Caenorhabditis elegans: one gene and its partner. The protein of the gene in region 1 interacts with the protein of each later gene in a biochemical or structural test. Each region holds a gene or a part of one and is shown on either strand. Other genes may lie near its edges.

What was found. Proteins that work in one complex are often made in the same cells at the same time.
Region 2: of the proteins of mes-3 (region 1) and mes-2, one has a biochemical effect on the other in vitro, tested with the Caenorhabditis elegans proteins (one study listed by BioGRID).

What each region holds. Positions count from the first base shown.
Region 1 is NC_003279.8:4,994,913-5,002,866, reverse strand, and holds the start of mes-3 (Polycomb protein mes-3), read right to left. Parts: upstream 6,029-7,954; 5' UTR 6,024-6,028; coding exon 5,972-6,023; intron 5,351-5,971; coding exon 5,132-5,350; intron 5,072-5,131; coding exon 4,908-5,071; intron 4,857-4,907; coding exon 4,772-4,856; intron 4,226-4,771; coding exon 3,974-4,225; intron 3,927-3,973; coding exon 3,782-3,926; intron 3,475-3,781; coding exon 3,348-3,474; intron 3,296-3,347; coding exon 3,177-3,295; intron 3,078-3,176; coding exon 3,021-3,077; intron 2,631-3,020; coding exon 2,516-2,630; intron 2,467-2,515; coding exon 2,180-2,466; intron 2,134-2,179; coding exon 2,010-2,133; intron 1,313-2,009; coding exon 1,053-1,312; intron 1,006-1,052; coding exon 942-1,005; intron 712-941; coding exon 517-711; 3' UTR 1-516. UniProt on the Caenorhabditis elegans protein: Component of a Polycomb group (PcG) complex. PcG proteins act by forming multiprotein complexes, which are required to maintain the transcriptionally repressive state of homeotic genes throughout development.
Region 2 is NC_003280.10:14,382,231-14,388,982, reverse strand, and holds mes-2 (Histone-lysine N-methyltransferase mes-2), read right to left. Parts: upstream 5,011-6,752; 5' UTR 5,008-5,010; coding exon 4,341-5,007; intron 3,958-4,340; coding exon 3,389-3,957; intron 2,947-3,388; coding exon 2,798-2,946; intron 2,754-2,797; coding exon 2,536-2,753; intron 2,116-2,535; coding exon 1,923-2,115; intron 1,658-1,922; coding exon 1,425-1,657; intron 1,209-1,424; coding exon 998-1,208; intron 766-997; coding exon 684-765; 3' UTR 529-683; downstream 1-528. Other genes in the region: F26H11.8 (uncharacterized protein), read right to left, coding at 159-363, 415-470; sdz-26 (SKN-1 Dependent Zygotic transcript), read right to left, coding at 5,674-5,829, 5,880-6,161, 6,212-6,397, 6,451-6,630, 6,687-6,752. UniProt on the Caenorhabditis elegans protein: Polycomb group (PcG) protein. Catalytic subunit of a the mes-2/mes-3/mes-6 complex, which methylates 'Lys-27' of histone H3, leading to transcriptional repression of the affected target genes.

The sequences.
Region 1 (7,954 bases):
AAATGAAGAAAAACTTAGTGATGACTCGTGTAATCTGGAAGATCATTGAAGTACGACGTTCTTTGGGTCAAAAGGTGCTAAAAATTGTAGTATTTTTGGGATCAGCGGTGGGTGGAAATTACTTTTGGCAATTCCATAAATTGGCCAATATTGTTCATTAAAAATTAGTCTCAAAATAGAAAATTAATTTATTTAAAAATATGAAAATAACATTTATTTCAGCTGAAAGATTTGAAAATTGCACAAAAATAGTCTGAAAGTTTCCAATTGCCGAATAGCAAAATTCGACAATTTCCAACTTCCAGGTAATTTTTAATCATTTTTTCAAGTGTTTCAACTGAAACAAATGTTATTTGCAGAAGAATCAAATTATTTTCTATGTTTTCAGACTAATTTTTAATGTCATTTAGTAGAATTGCCACCCACCACGATTTGGTATAGTTGATTGATAAATGGAAAAGAGATTAAACACAGGATTTCCAAAAAGAAAAAGATACAAGGAAAAAAGGGGATAATCTAATTAGAAGATGGTATATCTCGTTGGCGATTTTTCCATTCTTTTTTCAATTGCTTATATCGAACCATGGGCAATTCAAAATCTTCTAATTTCCAGTCAGGGCTGACCATAGCGATGAGATTTATTTGTTTCTCGAATAAAGAATTCAATTTCATGTCGAAAATGTACTGATGGTATTTGTTGATGAAGCCAGTCTGAAAATTATTTATGAAAAATTCAAAAATGCGTTCTAAGTTAAGGCAAATCTTGGCAAAAGTGTTGAGATGCTTATTTTAGTACGCTAATTCATTTTTTGTAGAATCAAAGACTCTGAAAATAATTTTCATTTTCGTTGAAAAGAAGTTTAAAGGTTTTGATTCAAAAATACTGTACTAAGCAATTCCGTACGTTTGCCAATCTAGTCCTGAATGTTCAATAAACTCACCAAAACTCTAGATTTCCATTGTGCTGAGAAGCATCCAGGGCGTTGTCCAGCTTCAGAGTAGAAACTTCAAAAATTGGGTTTTAATATATGACTTAATATTATAACACTTACTGTCTGCATAGAATATTGAATAGTTCAGTTTTTCCACTTGGGAAGAATATTTCTGAAAATGTCGATATAGGACATCCTTCCAAATCCAAACTTAAAGTGGTATTTCCGACTGTTGGAATAGGTTTTCTGGGTTTAACCGCAAAATCTTTGACATTCATCACAGACATCTTTTTATTATATTCGTCCGTTTCCGTCTTCGTTAGTGGATAGTCAAGAATTGTCATTTCGCCATATTTTTGAGCATTCTTCGGAAGATTCAACTGAAATTTGTAATTTTGCTTTAATTTTTTTTGTTTGCGGCGACAAGTTTTTTTTAGTGTTCAGTGCAGGAATCACTAGAATTATCTGAAAATAACTTTTTTTCAACTAAAACATTCGAGAAAGTGTTCAAAATTACCTGAAATTCAATAATTCGATAATTGGCAATCAGCAACTTCCAGGACATTTTTTGAGTACTTTTTCAAAATTTTCAGCCAGAATAAATGTTATTTCCAGATAATTCGAGTGTTTTTCTATATTTTGACATTAATTTTAAATACAAATTGTTGGAGCAACATGTCACAATAGAAAATTTTTAATATCGTAATCAAGGCTGGGATTTTTTGTTTTTTTTTTCCTGTTTTTGGAGTCAATTCAAAAAATTCAAAAAATATAATGAAAGGTTCTCAATTTTTCCTTTCTCACTTTTTTTTTTTTTTTTGGGTTTTTGAGGGAAAAATAGATTTCGCCTTCAGGAAACAATTTTGTTCGCTTTTTCAGAAATACATACAAATTGCTTCTAAAAAGAAAACAAATTATGCAATTTTTTCGAAATATCGGAAAAAAGAAAAATCTTAAAGTTTTGTTTTATTTTTGCAAAAATCAGTAAATCGAAACAAAAAATTCCATTTTCGATTTTAGTGAAAAAAGCGAAAATTATTACAACTTTTATGTCTTTTTTTTAAAAACAATTCTTACTTTTTCTTTTCTCAGGAACTCAATATCTGAATACATGTGAGCATTATTCATCGGATATGCTTCCATAAGACCTTCGATTTTTCCATTTTCTTCGCCATTCAGCTGGGGCACTAAGTCATTTGCTCTGCAAATCATATATTTTTTTACTGGATTGCATTAAATCAAATTACCTGTTCATATAAACATAACGAATATATGGCATATGACCCGAAGATTGTATAAAATCTAATCCATATTTCCGTGTTCCACCTGGTGCTCGATTTCTCGCAGAAAAACATGGTGAATCATCTGAATCATCTTCAATCGTAATAACCTCAATTGGAACGGAAACTGGAGTTTCTTCTCTAACTCTGATCACTCGGGTAGGTTTTATTGGAATGCTTCGTTGAGTTCCAGGACGGTAGGAACACGAATTTTCCAGCAAAGTGACACCAGTTTCATTGAAATATGAATTGATCTGAAATAATTGCACTTAAGCTTTGAAATTATAGTTTTTTAAGAATTACCTTCGTCGGATCGACTGAAAAACACGGCCATCTTGAAGTGAGTCGGGTCAAATGTCTCTTACGTCTTCCGCATAGCTTTTTCGTTCCAAGGAGTAACTGCTTGAGAGTGATTGTACTGTAATTATATTTTCTAAACAATTTTGAAGAACAGTTAGATGATCTATGGTTGGATAGAAACATGAAGTTCCGCGAATATCCAATGTAGTGAGTGATTAACTATAAAATTTAGATGATTTTTTTTGAAGTTCTATCCGGTGTATGCAGATTGCCTTCTGTAATTTTGGACAAAACCCCCCAGTTTTAACTCAAAAATTCTGAAATGCAGCTTCACGGTTTTCAAAAATCACGACAAGCTATTTGGAAGGTATCAATTACAGCCAACTAAGAAAAAAGAAGAAATGCACCCGAAATTAGAAATTCTGTAAGGGAAAAAATCCAGCAAACTTAGTGATTTAAAAATTAGATATTCAAACAAAAAATCAGGTGGTAGGGATCAAAAACGAACTCTTCATATTGCGATCCACAATCCTCATCGCAACTCGTTCCTGGCTCGACGGAGATTCTGAAAATGATGGAAAACACAATAAGCGTGCGGGATTACGGTCGTGCAAAAACCAGATAAAAACAAAATTAAAAAAAGAGAAAAAATCGAATTTCTCACCCAGATTTTAGTGTCGTCCTTCTGGATCGCGGCTGCCATGGAGAGAATTTTGAAATGTCCGGTCTATCGAAATAATTATGAGTATTTGAAGAGAAGATTAGACGAGCGAGATGAGAATCCTGTAGAAAAAAATCAATTATTTATAAAAGTTTATTAACTCTTCATCGTTACCTCTTTGTTATAATTTGTATCGCTTATAAACTCCAAATGCTTAACATTATTCATCCAAGCATTCTCGAGTTCCGGTTCATCGGCCTTCCCGAAAATTTTCAAATACGCTGGCTTTTCTTCTCGATCACTGGAAAAATCAAGAGCAATATTTTTCATTATACAATTTTTTTTGAAAAAATATTTTCTACCGTATACCCGTCAATTTGAGCGCGTGTTTCTCGAAAAAAAATGTTTTTCAGTTTTTTATTTATTTTGACAACAGTTTTCGCTCAAAATCTTCAGAAAACCCCCTTTTTAAAAAATTAGCAGGCCAGTTTAATTTTATAGATTCACCTTCGGATAAATTTTGGAAAAAAAAACTTTTAAAGTATTTTAATTTTTTTTGAATTTTTAAGTTTTTAAATTTTTGCATTTATAATTTTAAAGCGACTTACAGTAAGATAATACGTTGAACTCCGTCATTTAGGCAGTTAATTTCAGCATCCTTATCATACATCAAAGTGCACCCAAAACGAACAAGTTGCTGAAAGTTTTCTGAGGAAGCAGCCGTTTCGAATGATGCTCGAGTTGATTTTCCTCCTACAAAAGAAACTTTTTATTTAAAAAAAAGAAATGATTTCACTCACTTGTCCCAACTCGATTTTCTCCAAGTTTTGGTGTTTTTCGTTTCACAATCACTGCGAGATATACGTTTTTTGCCTTTTTCAGTTCAGGGCCCGTCAAAGTGATATTTTTTACATTTGAACTGTTATAGGAGATAGATGGTAACGTTCTATTCGCCATTGGAATAACTGAGATTCCATTTTCAATGCAGGTGACTGAATCATTATCGTCGACAATTATCACGTAGCTTTGAACAATTGCAGCAGAAGTAACATCTGAAAATGTTCTTTTTTTTAATGAATTAATGAGAAAATAATTTTAAAACCGAAAAAAACTATGTGTGTGTGTATTTTTGAATCTTAATTTACAATTAGAAAATAATTTCATTTTTTTGGAAATATTGTTCTTACTTTTTGAAAAAAAACCTCAAACATTTCAAAATCATTAAATTTGCTTTAAACTATAGGAAAAAAATAATTTTTATAAATTTTGTGTGATTTTAGGAAATTGCAAAAACTGAAAAAAAAAGCGAATTCCGACATTTTCGCGTTTTCTGGCTATATATTTATTGAGTTTAATTCATTTTTTGTTTTATAATGCAAATCAGAACTTTTCAATTTTTTTTGACTTTTTTAATTAAAAAAATAATTTTTTTTAAAACCAAATTTCAAAAAGACTTTTATTTCTTGTGAAATATGGTTTCAATCAATATTGAATAGATATTTTTAGTTCAAAGTGATTTTCTGTTGGTCTTTTTCGAATTAAGTGTTTTTATCGAGATTTCGTTTCAAATTTTTCAAAATTTTCAAAAATAAACTAACAAATCTTCTCATCCATCGAACTTCCCCAGGAGGATATTTTCATGAATTGTAGAGTACAGAAATTATATAAACCATTTTCTCTGTGCTGAAAGAAAAATTTATTTTGCAAATGAATCCATCAAAAATTCAAACAAACCGCATCGGTCTTTAGTCGCGGGAAAAATTCATCGATGCTTTTAATCACACGCCTTCTACACACATATTTCTTTCCAAATAATAATTGTTTGTCGAAGACATTACGAACGAGAAACTTGTTATCTTCCGGCAATCCATATTTTTTCACATAATTGCGAATTTCAACTGAAAAAATGTGAATTAATAGAAAAATTGAGATTTTAATTAATGATTTTTAAAACTAACGTCCGTCACTGCAAGTCGGCAACGTTTTTTGAATATTTTCTAATTTGGTAGGTGGATTCTTTCGTCTACTGGAGCTTGTGACTGGATTTGAAGATTCCCGAGAACTTCCGGCCTCTGATGAAGTTGGAGTTGACGGAAGAGATTTGTTCAAAAGATTTTCTTTTTCTTCTTCTCGACGAGCTGACCTCGATTGTTTTGTCTTGATAAAAACCGGCTCATCTGCAAAAATAAGCTTAAAGTATTAATTCAAAAATGCTAAAAATTACTATAATTTGACAGAAAAAAAATTAATTTCAAACTATAGACAATTACTTTATTGATCTGAAAATAACATTTATTTCATTTATTTTAGCATAAAATTTTGGGAAAGTGTTCAAAAATGGCCTGAGAGTTGCCAATTGCTGATTAAACGAAACATCGAATTTCAAGCCATTTTTGAACAATTTTTCAAATTTTTTCAGCTTAAATAAATGTTATTTTTAGATAATTCAAGTAATTTTCTATTTTTTGACACTGTTTTGTAATAAAATATGATGGAACAAAATGGCACAATAGGTAATTTTGTAGAATTGCCGAAAATAATTTTCACTGGTGGAAAAATTAAGAAAACAGGAAAAACTTTAATTATAATAGTTTAAATTACAATTTAAACAAGAAGTTAAATAAAAAGTTTCAGGCCGAGTTTCTCGAATAAAAAATTAACTATTTTTAAAGGTGAGCGTTGTGTTAGAATACGCGGGTCTCGGCGCGATTGGGATTTATGTTTCAAAATTAATTAAAAATTGATTTTAAGAATTTGATTTTTGTAAATTCCAGTAAATGTCCTATTCTCCAACTAACCATTCTTCCGTTTTCTCCCTCCAACTTTCACCTCTGCCGTCGCCGGAGTCATACCCTGCAATGATTTTTTGTGTTTTAAAATAGTTTAGCAAAGATCGAGATTATCGATTTATCTCGAAATCGCCAATCAGAGAGAGAGAGAGAAAGAAAAATGTGAAACGAACAGCGCAAAAAAGATATAATGTCAGATGAGAGAGACTTCGTTCTGGGAAACTGAGTAGAGAGTATGTCAATTGAGGAGACGCAGAATAAAAAAGAAATTCACATCATATTCAGACAGACGGCTGGTTCGATAAGGAATCGAATGAAGGAATGCGTGGTTATTGCCAGTCAAACAATTTGTTCATTAAAAAATTATACCTATGAAGATTTGTAAAACTTAATGGTTGATTAAAAATGTACCGTAAGAACCTTTTTGCAAAATTAAAAAAAAAATTTAGAAAAGTTCTATGCATGTTTAACATCTATATTTGGTTATTACGGTCCATTTTCTGTCATTTTGAGCAAATTTACAAAATGACTATACTTTATTTTAATTTTATTAACTTTAGGATTATAAAAAATATGTTTGGCTTGATATTTCACAGATATTTCGGATGAATTCTCAATAATAATTTTATTTATTTAAATAGAATTTCAAAAAATGTACGCTCTTTGTTTTTAGAGCCATGAACAACGCGTAGAGGTAGAAAGCGAGCAATGCACTATGCATGTGCTTAAAAACTTTAAATATTAAAAAAATGAGTCATATTGGTCGCGTTCAAACAAGAGCGGAGAGCACGACAAATCAATAAAAGAGAAGGAGCGACGCCTACTCGAGGGAAAGGAAGAGGAGCGTGCGCATGTCTCCGCGTTCGAGAGTTTGGAATTATAATTTGGAACGGATGAGAGACTGAAACCAACGAAATTATATTCCAAGTTTTACAATGAAATTAAAAATATGTCAATTGAAGTTATAAGTTTAAAGAAAAAGGATTCAATTGTTGATTTATCGAAATCACGCTGTCATACATTTTCATTGAATGGAAATGGATAAATTGTGTATTCTTGTTCTCACAGAAAAATAATCTGCGAAGAAAGAAGTAGAGCTGAAAAATGTATTACTAATTTTCTACAGTAAACTCAAAGACGCATAGGCAAAATCATTTTGTAATATTATTACCGTGGCGAGACCCATCACGTGAGTGCAGATACAGTGTACAGCGGAAACATTAGGTCATTATGAATATCAAATGAAAGAAATCGATCCAAAAAAGTATGAAGGGTGCGAAAAAAAGAGCAACAAGTGCATTTTTTAGCTGCCCACTCTTAGAAGTGTGCACTTTATGACATTATAAAACTACATCAAAGGGCAATATAATTGATGAGTTATTGAACTAGATCTAGCTAGATTATTGGACATTTTATTACACTTTCGCTGCGGGAAGAGGGAGTGTTCGAACAAGAGATTATTATAAATCTATTTTGAAGGGAATGAAGAATAAACCTCCATTCGATCGAATTTTGGAATATTTGGCGATTTTTCGTGATTTTCTTTTGATAATTGTACGTTCGAAAAACAATAATTACAAATTATTCAATGAAAAACCGCGAAACTGAACAATTTATGGAACTTTAGAACTTTCTCAAGAGGATAACGGCGGTTTCCACTATTTTACAGTGAAAAATGCATTCATAGACCACCAATAATTTGTTTTTAACCAAAAAAATCAAAAGGATTCCCGTAAAATCATGAGAAAACACGAAAAACCTCTACAAACATCCAAAATTAAACAATTTATTAATTGTCCGAGAGGAGTACACGGCCGAGAATCATTTGAAACATTTTCGCGCGAAATTCAAATTAGATTAACGAATTTTGACTGTCGACTCTTGGAAGCACAATTTTTGATGTTTCTTCTCATCTACTATTAAAAATAAAAATAAAAAAACACTGCGAATTAAATAAAAAACTACCGTACTCTTTTGAAGACATATTTTAAA
Region 2 (6,752 bases), on another chromosome or scaffold:
GGAGGATGGACAAGAAGCAGAAGCTCTCCGATTCAAAGTTTTCGGGCAAAATTCTCCATTTGGATTCACCTCGCAATCGTGATGAATTTTCCACGCGATGAACTTGTCCAGGTACACATTTCTATAATTGGAATTTTTCTATAATATTTGGAACATTTTTATCTCTGACAACCCGGATGCAATGGGGCCTGCCTACAATCGACGCCTTTTCTCTGTCTTCCCTGGATTTTGGATCTCGCTGCAAACTTTCTCGCAGCTTTCGGAATGCCAAGCTTCACGCAAATCTCGTACGTTGGATCGATCTGGCAAAATGTTTTGAGTTTCTCAGGAATTACGGCCGGTGGTTCGATTAAGCTTCTGCTACTGGAATTTTTGTCATTTTCAGATTTTCCTGCAGAAAAAAATCCAACTTACGTTTCCGAAGCCTCCAGCAGCATGGGAAATAAGAAAAATAAGAAGAAAATCACCATCTTTAAGGAAGAAGTGAAAAAATTGTGCTGTGTCGGGCGATTTTATAGGAGGAATTTTGATTCGATTATATTTATGGTTTTCAGAAATTTGAAGGAAGGAAAATGTATTCAGAAACATGAGATTCTAGGGAAATAACAGTTAAACAAGTAGATCTTGAGATTTGAAAGTGATATCAACGGGAAAAATTTAAGAAAAAAAGTCAAGAAAAAAGATTATTCAGAAGTCATTGGTTTGGAGAGTTTCTGGCTTTTGGGCCTGCTGGGCTTCTCGGATCTCTCCTTGGTTTGGACCATCCTGGAAAAAGTTTATTCAAAAAGTCAAGTTGAAAGTCTACACAAAACTGGTTCTCGAAGCGACCGAAAATTTGCAGCTACCGTAACCAACCACAATTTTCTACGGCTTATCATGATTTTTTTGATCCAAAAAAATCTTTGTGTTATAAATTTTTAAAAATTGAGTGGAAAAAACTAGAGGGTACGGTAGCTGCAGTCGTCTCGAGACCCGAAAAGCTTTTTGCAAAATCTACCTGAACGCTATCTGATGTTCTCCAGAATAACTGTAGTCAAATGTGAGCTCTTCACTAATCTCAAGCCGTCTCTTCGCATAGAACCCAATTCGGTGCTCTCCGGCGACAACCATCGTTCTCGCGTAGCACGTCGGATTCTTGCTGTCATGATTGGCAAATCGTGCCAAGTTTCCAATTTTGTACGAATCGATCGCACCCCCGGTTTCAATGTCTGCAAAAATATTTTTTTTTGTTCCGAAAAATTGAATTTTCAAAAAAAAAGAAAACTTTTGATGGTTTTTTTTTTCGATATTTTGTTAATTTTTTGAAATAATTTTTTCTTATTTATTTGATTTTCAAAAAATCGAAATGTTGTCTCTAAAAACCCAAAAAAAATTTAAATTTAAAACATTTTTCTGCGACACCGTGATCTAAAAAAAGTACATACTAAAAATGTAGCTGCACTGATATCGATCATATATCGCACCGCGTCGTTCGGCTTCATCATCGGAAATTCGTTCACCAGTGTATTCCGTAATGAACTCGTCTTTTTCGGCGGGTTCCAACAAGAAAAGTCCATTGCCTGCTATTTTCGATGGCCCGCAATACGTTCGTTTTTGGATCATTCTAGTCATTCCAAAATTGCGGCATTTTATTATGTTCGAGTCGATGGCGTCGCATCTGAATTTGTTTTTAAATTGAGAATTTTCAGGTACAAAATTCGATTTTTCTGTGCTATTTTGATTTTATATACCTTTTTTTAAATTTGGGATTTTGATTGAAGATTTTTAATGGACATTTGGTCCTTCTTTTTCGAGAAATTTTCAGTTCGATCAATTTTTTTTGGAAAGTTTAATTTTTTCCTTTCTTAAAATTTCCATTTCTGGAAGTTCTGAAAAATTAAAGCTTACTAAAAAAACTTTTCAAAAAATTCCTGTGCACTCACTTGCACATATTACACGTCATCGGATTACATTCCCAATTGGCTCGATAGCACTGGCAAGCCTTCGTGTAGCACTGACCGGCGGCGCAATTGCATCCCGGGAATCGCTGAGAACAGTTTATATCGCATTTGCACATGTACGAGCACACTCCGTTTTCACGACATGCACAATTTTCGGCTGTCGCGTTGCATGGGCCTGAAATGTTTAAAAATTAATTTTCAATTAATGGGGTTATTAATGCGATGTAGTAAAATGTGCAAAAATGTGTTTTCATTCATTTGTGTCCAATAAATACATGTGTGTCCAATAAATACAAAAAAATATTCGTTTTCTGCATTTTTCGACATCGGTCGACAGCCCACTTCACATGCTGAAGGCGAGAGACGCAGAGAGATATGCACCCGCGGGTTTTCTCTGCGTGTCTCGCCTTCAGCATGAGAAGTGGGATGTCGCCCAATGTCGAAAAATGCAGGAAATGCCGAAAAATGTCGAAAAATGCAAAAAATTAATGCTACATTGTTCGATGCACATGGGTAGGTGAAAAATGTATAAAAACAAATTATTGCATTTTTCTACATTTCACGAATAACCCCATAATTGTTTTCCATTCCTCACCCGCATGTCGACACGCTGTGATTGGCGTCACCGCGGTCATGCGAACTTTCTCGCTATTTCGCTGAGAATCACGCATATCATCTTCTCGAATCAATTTTTCCGCATCCAGACCATCTCTCAATGCTTGAATACGCAGACTGTCGTGACGCAGCTTACGCTTCGCCTTCTCCTGACTCAACTGATTACGACGGAAGTTGTTGACTCGATCCTTGATACTTCTGAAACAATTCAATTTTTTATATAAAAAATCGCGTCAACTGACAATCTATTCGACGGTTGTCCCATTTTAAGTCGTCGGGCGCTCACATTTTCTGCCATCGACATCATTAGATGATATGCGTCACGACATGAACGAATTTTGCTTTCCTCGTCGTCTTCGTCGACATATTTTTTGACAAACTCGCAGAATGGCTGAGAATGGATTTTTTGCATTTTAAGCTATAAAGCTCGATTTTGCACCCTTTTTTCCTATTTTTCGCTATTTTTTGTTTAAAATAGTTTGATTTACATAATATACAAACTCTTAAACGCAAAATGAAAAACAAAATAACGAAAAAGGTGCAAAATCAAGCTTTATAGCTTTAAAAAAAAGAGAAAACTTGCGAGAAATTAATTTCACTGGAAATATAATTTTTCAATAAAAATGTTTCGGAGGGATCATCTCAGACCTCCAACTATCGCATGACACTATTTTTATTCCGAATTCAGGAATAGTTTTTGAACTCTTCCCTTGTTAGAAAAATTATTGAAAATTTAAAATTACAGTACTCTTCAAAGACGCACGCCTTTTCGCATTTAACAAAAATTTGTCGCGTCGAGGCCAGGTTTTGGCGCAAAAATCGCGTACTCTTACAATATATGTATTGAACACGTAAATGTTCACAATGAGCGCTCCATCTTCAATCGGCATCTTTGCAATTCTTGATTTCATGAAATAAATCTTCACTTCTTTCTGCAGAATTTCTTCAGAATCCGGCACAAGAACTTCTGAAACTTCTTTCATCGTCACCGATTTCCAGCAATTTCCAGAACACATCTTTCCATCATTTTCCGGGTTATTTGGCAGCGGAAGCATCGCATTATAGAATTCACCATTCGGAAACTCGATTGGAATTTCGGCTTTGAATCCGTGAATCGCACATGTATATGCGAGGCACGCGTAACACGTCGGATTTCGAAGATTTTGAGCACCTTCAGCGATTTTTGTCTTCTTCCATGGTTCGAGGCTCGACGGATCGAATCCTTTTTCAGCAAAGTTCTCGCACAAAACGGGAAAAGCCGACGAAAATTCTCTCTGTGAACTTTTGTTTGGCCATAGACGGTAGAGGGTGTAGTAGAATACGTCTGGGCTGCCTTGGTAGTCTTTGAGCGCAGCACGGCATAGTTTGTAGAGTATCCAATCATTGACATAGGACCAGTTGTCTGAAAAATTTAACATCAATTCGCTTAAAAAATACCTGGAGCTAAGGATTTGCAAGATTGTCCCGAGGTTTGATGCATGTCGATTTATGAAACATTTAGAACTACACGTGGACAAGTGGGAACTTGTTTTTCGCATTTTTCACTTTCAAGGCTATTTTTTAAAACTAATTTTGTGTTTGACATTCAAAATGACATTAATTGAAATAAAATTTCAAAAAAATTTTACGGCGATTTCTCACTGAAAAGTGAGAAATTAGGCAATTTGAATGTAAAATGTAAAAATAAATAGAAATAATGGTACCTTCGTCCCGCCTGTTTTTTTTTCGATTTTTGGGGGTTTCTCAGAGAAAATGGAAAAAATCCGGTATTTTGCAATTTCTCACCCGAAAATCCATGAATTCCATCTGGGAACATATCAATCAAATGCTCATAGATATTCCCATCGTCAATACCATCGCCAAAATACGGCATATGCGTGAGCCGCAGCTGATCCGGAGTCGCCACACTTTGCTCGATTGGAACCCAGTATATCATTGGCGGGGAAATGTCGCCAACCTCGATACGTGAACACGGAGCACGAAACTTCTTCATCAAATCTCCTTCCTCCGTTCGATCCGGTTTGATCCATGTAACTGTGGAATCGGAGACTTTGTAGTCGTTTTCTTCGTATTTTTCACAGTTTTTGAATGAAAATTTTGCGATAGTTCTGCCCTCTCCTAAATTTTCTTGCAGCCTTCTGCGATATTCATTAACACTGCTGCTCGCATCCTTCAACCAATCTTTGATGTCTGTGTCCAGCTCGTCTTTTACTCGAATGTCATAGTCATCTTTGATAGCATTGAAGTGGCCTTTAAGCATACGTTTACATTCTTCAATTCCTTGTTCGCACACGGTCTCCTTGATTTTTTCAGATGAAAAAATTGGCTGAATTTTCACAAAGCGAGGCAAATTTTTCGATTTCTTCGATTTTCCCATAGAAGTTTCGCACTTTTTCCCGCGCTTCTTTGTTTTTCCTGAGGGAGTTGATGTGCTGGGCTCTGAGTTGCTCATTCTGAAAGAATATTGCGTTTTAAAAAGGGAGAAAATTGTATTAAGACGAAAAAGACGAGAGAATAAATCGAAAACAAACAATTTTTAATTTTTAAAAACATTGCAAGTGTTGCGTGCAATCGCGCCCTATTGATAATGTGAAGTTGGCGCGAAGGTTTGGAATTTGAATCTGACAAGGAAAACCAAATGCTTTTTGCAAAATATGTTACCCAGGCGCGAAGTTCTGCCATTTTTATGCTAAAAATACGGTGCCAGGTCTCAACACAGCAATTTTTTGTTAAATGCGAAAATATATGCACCCTTTAAAAAAGTACATAAAAGTCAAATTTTCGTGGCCGCGGAGTTTTCATCGAATTTTTTCCGATCGCAATATATTAAAAAGCTTATATTAAATATAGAAAAAAAATCAATAAATTTTCGAAAAAAGGATTTAGGAAAACCTACTTATAAAAAAATCGATGAAAATTCCTGAGAGTTTGCAATTATGTCTTTAAAGGCACACACCTTTTTGCATTTAACCAAAATTGGTTTTGGTGAGACCGGGTACCGTAATATTTGCAAAATTTTGCATACTAACTATTACTAGTAAGGCTGAATAATTCCAAGAACAATTTTATTTGAACTTTGGAAAAATTACAAAAAAAATTTTTAAGAAAATTAAATCTATTATTGACGCGGTTCCATGCTCCGAATCTTCACCAGTAGCTCATTGATCTCTTCAGTTCGATATGGAAGATTCAGTAGAGTATTCTCCACCGCAAACTCGACAAATCGCTCCCGTGAAATATTGCAATTCAGTAGCAACTCAACGGCTCCGTGAACCTGAAAAATATTATTTTGAAAATAGAGAAAAACATCAGAGGTAAACTCACAAATCCATCGTCTTGCTTCAAGAATCCCATCATCAAAGACATGAGCACTGGCCATGCTTCTTCTCCTTCTTCCATTCCGTTCACAGCTTTTTTCACCTCCCGGAAAGCTTCAATATGCTGGGAATTCAATGTGGACTCCTCAATTAGCTCGATCTCATCAAATAGTTGTGAAGCAGCTGAGATCTTACGAGGAAGAGCTCGGATCAGTGATTGGATCTCGTATTTTCTGTAAAGTGCCAGTGGAAACCGGTGCTCTTGGTGGTGGATTATGGCTCTTGTGATCTGAAATATCATATTATAATTTAAATTGTAAAAATTAATCTATAACTCACCACTCGTCGATTCCCAGTCTTAATTGATTGCACCAGGTGCACCATGAGAACTTCCCAAAGGGCCCACTCATAATTCTCCATCATTTTGTAGTGCCCTTCCTCTTGATCACCATGCAAGTGGAGATTATCGAGAAGTTTTGGGAGCAGCTCTGTCTGATCGAAATTATCCATTTCGAGATTTGGGATCTAAAATGGAAAATTAATAGTTACCCTAAACTTTTCTTTGAAAAAAAACATGCATCTTGATCCAGCAACGACTCGTCTGACAGCTCCCGTCGCAATTGTTCAATTTTTCGCACCAACTCGTCTGCTTCAACAAATCTGTACTGGAACTGAGCAGCAGTCTCGTGCACTCTATAGTACTCGAAATCCGCAAGTGATAGCTCCAATGCACCGAGAAGTTTGAAGGCACATTTTACCTGAAAACCATAATTGTTTTTGAATTCCCGCTGAAATTAGTGACCATTTAACTTACAAGAGCCAAATCATCGAAACACATCATATCAGTGAGAAGCTTCAAAACATGGTCCGGGACAAATGT